Callithrix jacchus: one gene and its partner. The protein of the gene in region 2 interacts with the protein of the main gene of each other region in a pairwise test. Links are inferred from orthologs where the notes say so. Each region holds a gene or a part of one and is shown on either strand. Other genes may lie near its edges. The genes, in order: ARMC8 and CTNNA1.

Region 1 (6,899 bases), on a different chromosome or scaffold from region 2:
TGGGATGTCTGGAGTCACATTCCTAGCTCCTCCCTGCTCTGATTTCAGCCACAGCAGTAGTGACAGTTCTGTGCAGGCTCAGATTTATGCTGCCTATATCTCACCCTAAAAGGAAACCTACAGACTCTGCTTTTTTTTTTTTGAGATGGAGTTTTTCTTTTGTTGCCCAGTCTAGAGTGCAATGGCACAATCTCGGCTCACTGCAACCTCTGACTCCCAAATTCAAGCAATTCTCCTGCCTCAGTCTCCCAAGTAGCTGGGATTTCAGGCTTGTGCCACCACGCTGGCTAATTTTTTTTTTTTTTTTTGTACTTTTAGCAGAGACGGGGTTTCACCATGCAGGCTGGTCTCAAACTCCTGACCTCAGGTAATTCACATGCCTAGGCCTCCCAAAGTACTGGTATTACAGGTGTGAGCCACTGTGCCTGGCCAACCCTGCTTTTTTATATCAGGTTAAGGAAGCCCGTTCCGTTCTGTGCACAAATATAATCCAGAAGGGTAGAAAGTTAACAGCTCTAGGGAAATCCTCAACCAATACAGGATGGTAGTGGTGAATGAATGCCGAAGCTTCAAGATGGATAATCCAGAGAGGTATTCTGTATGTTTTTCAGAGGTGCTTGAGGAATAAACAGTGGCCTCAATAATGGACAATTATATTGAACATTTCTTCTTTCTTTTCTCACTCTCCCTGACCTATCAATTTTGTTCCCCAAAAGCACTTCCCAATAAAATACCTGCACCCAAATCTTTGTCCCAGGCTCAAACTAAGCCAAAAATTCATTCAACAAATATAAGTGACTGTGGAGGCACTGAGATAGAAAACCTAGAAGATAAAATTCCTAGTGCCTGTCCTGAAGTGTATAGTGAGACAAACAAGGAAACAACAAAACCACTCTACAATTGAAGTATGAAGGCATTGGGGGAAGGGTCATCTAACCCATGCCTGAGGGAGGCAATTCCTGGAGGACATACTGCTTGAGCTAATGGACAGAGTGTGAATCAAATACAGTTATAATGACTCTATATGCTACGTATTAGGGTTATGCTCTGCCCCATTGCAGTATACAGTACATGATGTGATTTTAGGTGGTCCATGGATGGAAATTTAAACTTTTTGTAATTAATGTGTACTGGAAGAAAAATAAGGAGCACAACAAACTTGATTTCAGAGTATTATGGTTTAGGATAAAGCCAGAATTTTTTAATGAGTTGCAATAGGCTTTAAATAAAAATACTGAATGAATAATAATACCTAGGTGCAGATTGGCAAAGATTTTGTAGGTGGTGTGCAGATTACCCAAGTTTCGGAAATAGTATTATAGCAGAAGGAGTGCCTACCTAAAATAAAATTCCTGGCTTCCAGGAACTCAACGGTTTGTTAAGGAACACAGACCCATAAGCAGGGATGATAAATACTACACTAAATTTGGAAACCACGTACAGGAGGAAGACAGGAAAACAGTGAGGAGCAAAGTGAAGGAGAGGCTACCAGCTACAAGACCAGTTGGAAAGCTATTTCTCTAGTCCAGGGGAGAGGTTACAACAACCTGAATTAGGGTGCGGCTATGGAAGGAACATTGCAACCATACTCTGAAAACCTTACTGGTTGCAAGCAGTACGAAGGTAAAACCTGTCCAACCAAGTCAAGGGCAGTGCTGCACACACACGCCATGGAGCAGGACAGCTGACTTAATCAACTATAATTAGATAATACTTTTATTTGGCTTCGGTTATCAGATAATTTTTGGTGTGAAATATTCGGATATTTGCCCCACTTTCCCCACTTGACTCAGAAGCTGGAGAAGCGCTGACACATTGTATAACGCTTCCTATGTTCTAGGCTTTTTCTGAGCGCTTTACGTTTATTGACTCCTCTATCCTCATTAACCTTTATTTTACAAATGAAGAAACTCGAACAGAAGGTTAGATAACTTGCCCAGGGTAAGGCAGCTAAGTGAAGTAGCTAGGAAGAAGCCGATCATTCTGGCTATTCTTAACACTACAGCAGAATAAACGCGGCCGGCACACAACGCTAAGGCAAGTCCCACTTCTGCATTGCATAGTTAAAAATCACTCTTAATGGTAGGCAAAAGACCTGGTTCTGGGATCGCAATTTCCCCACCTATGAAATGGAGATAACGACGCCGGGAGTTTGGTGCAGAATGAGATAATGAACATGAAAGTGAACTTCAAACTATGTATGTGGCTCCATGTACTGCTTTTTCCGAATATGCATACGCGAACCCACCAACTACAATTTATCAGTCGGTAGAGCTTGTAGCGCCAGAACGAGACTCCGCCTCTGGAGCCCCGCCCACCGCGAGCTGCAGGTGGGGCCGACAGATCTTCTTTGCGCATGCGGAACCGCTGCCCGCTCCCACCTCTAACCCAAGCTCAGAGTAGCTGCTGTTTCTGAGAGAACGATTCGTAGGACGGCCTCTGACGCGGTTCCCTTTTGCTCTTCTTTCTGCGGGCCTTTCCGGTACTTGAGCGGTGTCCAGAGCAAGGCTCGTTCTCGTCGTTCTGACTGCCTTTCGGGAGAGGTGCCTGTCGTTGGCCAAGAGTTGGCTGTCGAAAGTGCCGGCCCCCACGCCGGCGCCGGCAGCAGCCGGGTGGGAAGGCTCAAGATGGCGTGCCTGTTGGAGACCCCAATCCGCATGAGCGTCCTTTCGGTGAGTGACCCGCCGCGGCCGCCCGCCCGCCCTCCAGGGAGCCCCATCCCGGTGTCCACCATTCTCCCAAGCGTGGTGTGCCTCCTGGGCACCACCCCCTGGAGTGGCCCCCGGCTCAGTCTTGGGCCAGGGTGTGAGTGAGGGTGGACAGGCGGGATAGACGGGCAGAGGGGACCCCGGCGGAGTCAAAGACGTTTCCAACTCCGGGAGCTCCTGCCGGTGCGGGTTCTCAGGGTGGCGTCTTGCAGACGGGGTGGTTGGGCTTACAGACAACTGGCCGGGCAGCGCGGCTTGGACTTTGCCAAGCGTTTCACTGAGCCTTCCTTTTAGTGATGCAGCTTCCCGGGGGCCGAGCGCTCCGCCTTGTGAAGCGCCGGGCTTGCAGCCGGCCTGGGAACGAGCGCCCACTCAGCTCTCTGGGGCTTTGGCAAGAAGAGGTGCAGGCTCCTTGGCCCCCATTTCCTCAGAGCTGCCAGGCCAGATATATGTGGCTTCTATCGCGTCCCAGCACCTGGGCACCGGCTGAAGCTGTTTGCTTTTTGGCAATGGTGATTTCGTATCAGCTGCAACTCTTGCTAGTGTATGTGGTTATTTAAGCCCCTTTTCTCCGCTCTGCTCAGAGGTCGCGGCTCTGGGTCAAAGGAACTGTATGTTCCCTGTGCCTGGTATTCCTTTTTTCTTTAAGGGGAGTCAAACATTGAAGGGGGGAAAAAGGGGTGAGATTTCCCCATTGTTGAAAGAAGGGAACGTGTTGACATGCCAGGAAGTAAAACCTGTTTTTTTTTTTTTAAGTTTTGTTTTGTTTTGTTTTTTTTAAAAAAAGACGACTTTCACCTTTCACTATGTTGCTCTTGAACCAGGACCAGGAATGAAAGTTACTGGGAGATAACTTCGAAGGATTTTGCAACAAATTCGAGCTGTCCGACTCTGAGAATGGTCAGTTTACCAATGGTTCATTTGCTATTGTTGGAAACAAGCAGGCAAATACTGATTGACCATCTTTTAGACTTATGGAAGCCAGTCTGATACTGAGAGGGTAGTTGGATTATAAATGACTTGTCGGGTTCCTAGAGTCTTGTAACTACAACTGGTTTCTTTTCTCTTCCTTGAGTTGTCCCACAAACAAACTCACCTATCTGAAAGCACCTAGGACATTGGCTTATGATTCAGGGTTAGAGCAGCGTGGTAGACCTCAACCTTGAAAAGGCTTAAGTTTTCAATACAACAATAATTTAATTTTGTGAGACTTTCAACAGATTTTTCCCTCTGATCCATTTTAGCAGTCATTTTTTCTTATTTTTAAACTGCAACTAAGGAAATACTGCTTATCTAATCACTGAATCAGCTTAGCCTGTTACTCCACCACTGACTGTAATATCCAGGAATATTCTGTGGGAGTGCGAACCAATGACTTTTACCTCATTATGTTAAAAAAAAAAAAAAAGCAGTATGTGTCTTGGCTGTTCTCAGTTCCCCTTTAATTATTGATTTAGATTTCAGTTATCCTTCAGTTCAGCTGAAGCTTACTTTGTGGATGTTGTCAACTTGTATAATGCATATGATTAAAAATTTTCATTTGTTTCGCTTCCTTGGTAAATATTTTTTGCTTAATTTATTCAAAACCTTTTTGAAGAATATTTTCTATTAACCTATTTAGGCTTTGCTTTTATCCCTAGTCTCATTAGGGGCTTATTATTATTATTTTGAGATTTCCATAGTCCCAAAGTCTGGTCTGTCAGATCTTCACTCCTAGAGACGTGGAAAGTAGGAGCTTTGGATACATGATTTAAAATGTTTAAATTCACAGATTTTACTAATTTAAAGTGAACCCTGTACCTTTCAAAATACTACTCAGAACACCAAGGTTTTTGAAATGTGAACTAGAACAGGAAATATTCATCAGAAATTATCTTGAATGGTTGAGTCCTTTAATAGGCTACTATGTACCAGTTATGTACAAGCCCTGTATTGTGTACATTAGGGAATGTGAGGATGAGATCAGAAATGCATTTAAGGGGCTCATAGTCTGGATGACACTATAACTTCAAATGAAGATAATTTTAGCAAGGAGGCATTCAAGTTGTTTTAAAGGATTTCGATTTGAGTCTCTCTATACCTTCTCCTTGGGAGATCTCATTGATTTTCCTATAACCTTAACTGATCAGTTTACGTATCTACATTGCCAATCTTGACTTTCTTCTGCATCTAGTCATACATCTTCAACTGTGTGGATGACACCCATCAGTTCCAACAGCACATTCCTTCTCCTAAGGGGAATTAGTTATGACATCCCAATTTCTGATAATGGTATTATCTTTCAGTGATCAGTCCCCTTTTTTTTAAATACAGAGTCTTGCTCTGTTGCCCAGGCCAGAGTGCAATGGCACCACCTCGGCTTACTGCAACCTCTGCCTCCCATGTTCAGGCGATTCTCCTGCCTCAGCCTCCTGAGTAGCTGGGACTACAGGCACACACCACCACTCCCTGCTAATATTTTGTATTTTTAGTAGAGACTGGGTTTCACCTTGTTAGCCAGGATGGTCTCAATCTCCTGACCTCCTGATCTGCCTGCCTCAGCCTCCCAAAGTGCTGGGATTACAGGCGTGAACACCTCGCCTGGCCGATCAGTCACTGTTAAACCTCCTGAATGATCTCTGATTCTCCCTCCTTTCATCCCCCTGTACCTACCAGTTGTTAAGCTCTGTTGCTTCTTTATTCTTAGTGTTTCTCATATCTTTCTGTTCCCATGACTTCCCTCATTCAGGACCTTGTTATTTTATGCCTGCACTACCACAGTGTCCTTTTAGTTATTTTTACCGTCTCTAGTGTCTTTCTTACCTTCTCAGTGCAAGTTCATTTCTACATTAATTTTCCTGAAGAACCCTTTGCACAGCTGCTCCTGTTTCTTTTCTTTAGTGAATTTGTTTTGCCCAAAGGCCCAAGTTTATATTCAGCTTCAGATTTGAGATTTTTATCTTCTTCTTCTTTTTTTTTTTGAGACAAAGTTTTGTTCTTGTTGCCCAGACTGGAAAGCAATGGTGTGATCTTGGCTCACTGCATCCTCTGCCTCCTGGGTTCAAGCAATTCTCCTTCCTCAGCCTCCTGAGTAGCTGGGATTATAGGCACCTGCCACTATGCCTGGCTAAAAATACAAAATTTTTGTTAGAGATAGAGTTTTGCCATGTTGGCCAGGCTGGTCTGGAGCTCCTAACCTCAAGTGATCCACCCGCCTCCACCTCCCAAAGTGCTGGGATTATAGGTGTGATTCTTTATTTTCTACACAAGCCTCCTTTTCACTGGCTTTCTCAGCTTAGAGTGATACCAGGATTTTTCCAAACTCCAGTAAATCTTATTGTCTCTGTCTACTCATTTGTACATATGAATTTTAGCTTTGTATATATGTATTCTGTTCGACTACTTTGAGCTTCTGTCATTTGCTAGGCAGGCATGGTGTTGAGTTTGGTAATACCGTGGTAAGCTACACAGACCTCTGTCCTTTTGGAAATATTAGCCTAATGGGAAAAATAGTTATCAAATAATCACACAGTTTGTTTGTAAATGGTGATTAGTATTATGAATGAAATATATAGGGTGGTGTTCAAACATATCATAGAGGAAACTGATCTAATTTGAAGGGCAATGAGAAGAACTAGGGAAGGTTTCCCTGAAGAAGTGACACCGAGCTGAGAGTTTAAGGATGAGTAAGAACTAAGTAGAAAAAGTGACAGAAGAAGAGCATACAAGGCAAAGGGAATTGCTTTTGCAGAGGTCTTCAATAATACGGTATCTTTTCGTCTTAGAGAGTAAATTCATTGAGAAGTAATACTTTGTCTTGCAAATACTAGGTACTCAGTAAATGTTTGATTGAACTATCTATTTTGGAGGGTTGGACAAACTCTCCAGCTCTCTTTCTAAACTGCAGCATGACTACCCCAAGCCTCTTTGGTTTGCATTTAACATTACAACATCACCCTTTTCAACAAATTCATAAATTTCTCCCATGTTTTCTGTACTTTTGAATTATGTTGATTGCATTTTTAAAAATGTTTATTTTGAAATAATTATAGATTCACAGGAAGTTGCAAAGATAGTACAGAGGAGGTCCCTGTGTATATTTCACCCAGTTTCCCTCGTAGGTTACATCTTATATAATTACAATACAATATCAAAACAAGGAAATTGACATTGGTATAAGTATGTAGCTCTGTATCATTTTATTACGTACGT
Region 2 (6,335 bases):
ACAAAAAAATTAAATAAGCTGGGCATGGTGGCACACACCAATAGTCCCAACTACTCAGGAATATCACTTGTACCCATAGCAATGATCTATGATTGCACACTCCAGCATAGGCCACGTAAGAACTTGTCTCTTAAAATACACACACGTGTGTGCACACACAATTGATCTCTAACCTGAAAGTTTCAGAAAGAAATGCATTTATAATGAATTTCTATTTTACTCACCTTATACAACTAATCAAATTTTCTGAATAATTCAGTCTCAAATTTATCCTATGTCTAAATTAGAGACTTACTTTCCTCAAGGACCTCTACTATTCTATAAGAGATGAAAGCAATCCTCCCAAAAAGCTACTCTATGAGGAAGAACTGCTCCAATAAAAATAAACCCTTTTTTGGCCAGGTGTGATGCCTCTTGCCTATAATCCCAACATTCTGGGAGGCCAAGGCAGGCAGATTACCTGAGATTGGGAGTTCGAGACCAGTCTGACCAATATGAAGAAACCCCATTTCTACTAAAAATACAAAATTAGTCAGGTGTGGTGGTGCATCCCTGTAATCCCAGCTACTCAGGAGGCTGAGGCAGGAGAATCGCTTGAACCTGGGAGGCAAAGATGGCAGTAAGCCAAAATTGCACTCCCGCCTGGGCAACAAGAGCAAAATTCCATCTCAAAAAAGTAAATAAAATAAAATAAAACAAACAAAAAATAAATAGATAAATAAATCCTTTATCTTTCTCCCTTTCCCCTCCCGACTCCACTTACATCCAGCTTTCTCAGTGCTTAGTGAGGTCTGGTCACAAGTAAGCTTTAGGTACAAGGTGAAACAGCATCCTCAAGACAGCAGCTATTGGTCTCCCTCCAATTTCTCTACTTGATATAATTTATTCTCATACTGATAAATGTCTGTGCAAATATTATGGCTTTAATTTTTCTTTATAGAAACTATGTCCTTATTGATTTCAACTTAAATGCCAAATTTTTTTCTACCAAAACCTTGCCCTTTTCCAATAAGTATACATTTCTTCCTTCCCTTCCAAAGAACCCTCAGTTTTCAAACTGAACATGCAATACCTTCAGTTCATTATTAATCTACATTTTAGCTGATCATTTTTCTTACCAGATTAGGTTATTACAGGATTTCTCTGGCCAAAACTGAATACAAAATGCTTTCTGGCCAACAAAAATGAGAAATGAATGGTCACAGAATTTTATTACAGTAACAGAGCCTCAATAGGCCTGAGATCATTTAGTACAAACCCTCATTTTACAAATAAATACCAGTGGCCCTGAGAAGTTAAATGGTTTCTGGTAGATATTACTCAACTTAGGGCAAAATGTGCTACTTGGGTATCTTTGAAAGATACCCAATGCTGCCAAATTTTGAGGGGAAAAAAAACAACATTGCTAGTAAATTTTAACATGCACCGTAAGAGTTTGTTATAAAATAATTTAATGTTTAAAGCTTCACGGTAAAAACTAAGTTCTAACACCAAGATCTTTAGACTTAACATGCCTTCTTGCTTTATGAAAAGTCTTAAATCAGCCATGCATATCAATAAGGATCAGCTAGCTAAGCAAAAGTAAGGTGGCAAAAGAAAGAAAGAAAAAGTAAAGGCAGAAAAAAAAATGTACTCCACTGTATTTTTATTATTATTATTTTATATTTCACAGCATCGCTACTTTATGAAAGGATGCTGGCCACCTGGAACACAAATTCTCTTCCTTTATTTGTTTTTAATTTGCTCCAACATTACTTTTAAAGCCCTTAAAAAAAAAAAATTAAACTGCTGCCATCTACTGGAAGCTATGAGGCATTGTGGGTAGGAATTAAAAACATACAACCCACCACGTAATTAACATTAGAATTGTGTACAGAGGACAGACCTAGAGCATCATTTATGGAAAGTAATTATGGCATTATGCTAAGAAAGTATTTTAATCCCAAATTTGCTTCCACTTGATTAAATTTTTGTTCATTATTCCACTGTAGTCATTGAAAAGAAGTATATCTAGGCAAACAAGGATTAGAATGATGGTACTTTTGCTGCAGTCACTTAGGATGTTTCTCTGTCTCCCAATACACCACAGCCTCTCGGGGACAGACCCTACGTGTACTTTGTTTCTGTATCTACCATAGCTTCATATCTGCCAGTTCAAAATCTTGGTTGAAATGAATCAAACCCATATCCTCAATAAAGAATGACCTCACAGGAAACACAAGCTACATAAAAGAATCCAAAAGTTTAATTCAAACTAAAAATAAATGTTTTGGGCCAAGTTAAACCCAAGTAAACTGATGATTCATAATTTCTTTTACTTAGATTACAGATCTAAGTGGAAACTAAGCTATCATTAGAGGCCTTGATCACTTTTCCCCAGAAACCTGTTATCTTTTGAGGGATGGTCAAAAGCTAGAAATTTCCACCCAAGCATAACTTACATCAAAGTTATTGAGTGCATATGCCAGTTCTCCTCCTCCTCCCCCCTGGTGCTGGGAGGCATCGTCTGAGGCAGTGGCCTGGGCTGCATTGGAAATGCCCGTGACCGCCTGCTGCAGCTGCTTGTATATCAGGTCCCTGTTGGCCTTATAGGCTGCGACATCAGGGTGCTGTAGGCATGCCTGGGATGCAGTATAGAGGATCGGAACATTCTTCTGCAGGATTCCTCTAGCTGCAGCCATCTGATCACGATGGCCAACATCTTTCAGTTCCTACAAGAGTAAAAGAAGAAATCGGAGTACTCTTTATATGGGTCCTACTCACATAAAAATTTGTCAGTAAATGCTGAAAAGTTAGAATTTCTACTAATTAGACACATTATCTTCATTAACAATCTAGTTGAAAGTCAATCAAAGAAGCCAGTATGGCTTAGCAGGTAAGATTCTGAGTTTTGTAATCACACAGACCTAGATTTCTCCTGGATATTTTGTAACCTTATTTCAAACCCTCAGGGCTAAGGTTCCCCTTCTGTCAAAGAAAAGCAATAATAGGCATCTTACTGTTTTGAGGATTAAATGAGACAATGTATGTGAAGTACTTAGTACAGCACTCAATAAGGCATTAAATAAAAGACAAAACTCCCTAACATATTGATTACAACTCTATATAGATATATGTACTATTCCAATCAAAAGTAGAAAGATCATGAAGAAATACATTCAAACAGAGTTAAGACCTATTATGAGGATTATTTTTTATTAAGTTACACAATTTCATTTTAAGGGTTTTGTGAAATTTGGTCCAGGATACCATAGGTATGCATGAACTAGATAAACTAGGTGATGATATGGCAAGGCTATTCTCACAAGCATGTAACTCCTCCCCTCCCCTTCCCCACCCCAAAGACCACTTTAGGACACAGAACCATACTTTTCATACACAGTACATTAAACAGTTCACAGGTCACTAAGCCATAAAGTTGAGACGTAAGTGCTTCATAATCCCAATCTATGATTACAATACTCTGCATAGATGTGGTCTTAAACTGTTTGTTTTTTTTTTTATTTCTTCTACCCCATAATTACAATTCACAGTACGAAGGATCTGAGGTCCTTGGCATCATTTCCACTAATGATGGCATCTACTTGATAGGCTTGAGTAGATATGCTAAGTGACAAATAAGTGATGCCAAAAATAAACAAGATGGGAATGGGAAGCAGGTATTTCTGGTATTCCCCTTATACTCACATTACTCAGAAGGAAAAAAAAAGGCTTTCATAAAAGTGGATCACCACCACAGAAGAATACAAGCGATAACTCTAAATGATCACTAAATGTAGTCCAACTCTATTTTACATGTTAAGATGTCAATGTTAACGTCATCAACTGAATCCTAGAGTATACATTTAAACATTTTGAGTATTACATGTGTAAACAATAAGAGAAAATTGACCAAGTTAAAAAGGACAAAGTCAATTACTCAATTAGCCGTTTGACTTAGCTATTTAGTGCTTCATCTTTCTAAGAGTTCCTAATTAGGCATTAGAGACACCAAACTGGCTTCCTTTTTCTGAAACTTCATCTGAGTATATATATTTAGGTTTGCATCTTTATTCAAACCTTGTATAATATGACAGCTTACTTTCCTCCTAGAATTCTTTCTCGTTTGGAATCTAAATTTGCAAGTAGTAGCTCACAGCACTCCAAATGCCCTGTAACATAGTACATCAGGCTAAATACTCAAAAACAGGACCCTGTAGATTTAAAGAATCGGTGATCATTTAAAGACTCAAGCAACAAGGGGCTGCAACTACACATTACACTTAAACAGCTGGTGCTCATGTTTTCTGTGGTATTTTCTAAATGCCTTCACCACAATCTCCGGGGTTCTAAAAGTTTTCTAGGAAGGAATTCGCCTTAAAGCACCTAAATTGTCCATTGTTTTATAAAAATGCTTCACAATCAGCTTTGGCATTCCTCCTAACTATCTATGACCCAGTAGATCGGCACAGCCTCTTTAAAGGTTAGTTACCAAAGACACTCGTGGTCATCTCAAGTTAGTAGATACCATAATTACTATTGCTGAATAGTAATTCATGACTTTCCTAAGCCACTGCCTGGTATGGTACAAACTTCTACTTTTCCAAAGACTACATCGGGCTAAATATTCAGAAACAGGATCCTGTGGATTTAGAGAACTGGTGATCATTTCAAGACTTGAGTTATGACAAGGAGCTAGGGCTAACCATTATGCTTAAACAGCTGGTGCGTATGCTCTGTGTGGCATTTTCTAAATGTCTTGCCCTCATCATACCGTATCTCTGATAGACTCCTATTTACAAAGTATGAGGGATATATTTTAATCTATGATGAAAATAACAATGAAATACCATCATTTGTCCTGACTGCTAAACTATTCTTTTTTCTCTCTTAGAGCTGTTCTTGCCTTAGCACAAAGAAATTTCTTACATAAAGAAACAGACACTATCACAATACGGCACTATTTACTGTAATAAGAATAATGATTAAAAGTATTCTTTTCAACATATATAACGCCAATAAGTAATCCAGATTACTGAGGAAAGTGGCCTATTAAGCAACATATTAGATTACTTATGAAATTAGTCTCTTGGTCTACTTTAGCTTTCATAATTCCCAACTTCACCAATCCACTGATGGTTAGGCAGACTCAGGAACAGTCAAAGAACTGCTTTCAATGTAATCTGAACTATCCATCCCATGGATTCACCAAGAAATAGAAGCTAACTTCTAAGCAATCTATAACACTGTGTTTAACCAAGAGCTGAAAATTCAAGTGAAAGCCTCCTCTCATTTCTCCCTTAACAATATAAAACTACAGCCATAGATTTCTCTTGGATACAAATGGCTACACTTAAATAAGTGTCCATGGTCAAATAATCCAACCAGTCCAAATTATTTACAAATAAAACACTGACAATAACATCACTATTCAGTGTCTGTTCAAGATTTCAGGAAAAAAAAAATCACAAAAGGCAAGAATTCATAGACTAAGTAATAAATAAGAAGCATTACATTCTCACCAAATACCTCAATAAGCTCTCTGTACATGGAGGGAGGGAATGTAAGCATCAAGGCATTATTACATAACTAGCATGTTAGGAAGCCAGAGTCGACAATGTGAGGCAGAGGTGGTCCTTCTCATAGGAGCCAGGGTTGATGCCAACTCATCCTTACTTCTGCCATCACTTTTACACTCACAGTCAAAGAACAGCATAGAGCTAATGAAATTCAACACTTCTAGTCAGCAAATAATATTCCAGCCACACTTAATTAGAAAGCAACTGATTAGGATCACACTTAGAATCCAATTCCAGTACAGCAAAGCAGTTTAATCATTCAGTTTTTAAGTATTTATTGAACACTACTATACCCAGGCAATGTTCTAGGCAGTAGGGATTATAGGAAGAATTAAAACAGTATCACTGTCCTCTGGAGCCAAATAACCTGGGTTCAAATCCTGGCTCCACTACTTGTCAGTTGAGAGACCTTGCCAGATTACATAATCTCTATTAAAATTAATATGCAACCAGTTATAGTATCTACCTCGCATTATTCTGTTAAGATAGTAACTGAGTTTATGTTTACAAAGGGTTTAAAATCGTGACATAAGATGGCCAACTAGAAGCTCCTAGCATTCATCCCCCTCAAAACAACACCCAAAACAATGATTAAACAACTACATTTTAACAAAAATAACTGAGATAGAGCACAGAGTGCATCAGAGAACTTACAAAAACCCTAGTTACAAAACTCAAGGCGGCCACATGGAAAAAAGAAGGAAACACCTGGCCTCCACCACCCTATACCCCAACCAGGATCATCTGGGAACCAGGACAAACCTCCCTACTGGAAGG

Evidence for each region.
Region 1: the proteins of CTNNA1 (region 2) and ARMC8 interact in a two-hybrid assay, tested with the Homo sapiens proteins (2 studies listed by BioGRID and IntAct). The link is inferred for Callithrix jacchus from reciprocal best matches to the Homo sapiens genes CTNNA1 and ARMC8.

Annotation. Positions count from the first base shown.
Region 1 is NC_133518.1:46,139,930-46,146,828, reverse strand, and holds the start of ARMC8 (armadillo repeat-containing protein 8), read left to right. Parts: upstream 1-2,600; 5' UTR 2,601-2,627; coding exon 2,628-2,672; intron 2,673-3,532; exon of another isoform or gene 3,533-3,605; coding exon of another isoform or gene 3,606-3,608; intron 3,609-6,899. UniProt on the Homo sapiens protein: Component of the CTLH E3 ubiquitin-protein ligase complex that selectively accepts ubiquitin from UBE2H and mediates ubiquitination and subsequent proteasomal degradation of the transcription factor HBP1.
Region 2 is NC_133503.1:37,209,882-37,216,216, reverse strand, and holds part of CTNNA1 (catenin alpha-1), read right to left. Parts: intron 2,712-6,335; coding exon 2,442-2,711; intron 1-2,441. UniProt on the Homo sapiens protein: Associates with the cytoplasmic domain of a variety of cadherins. The association of catenins to cadherins produces a complex which is linked to the actin filament network, and which seems to be of primary importance for cadherins cell-adhesion properties.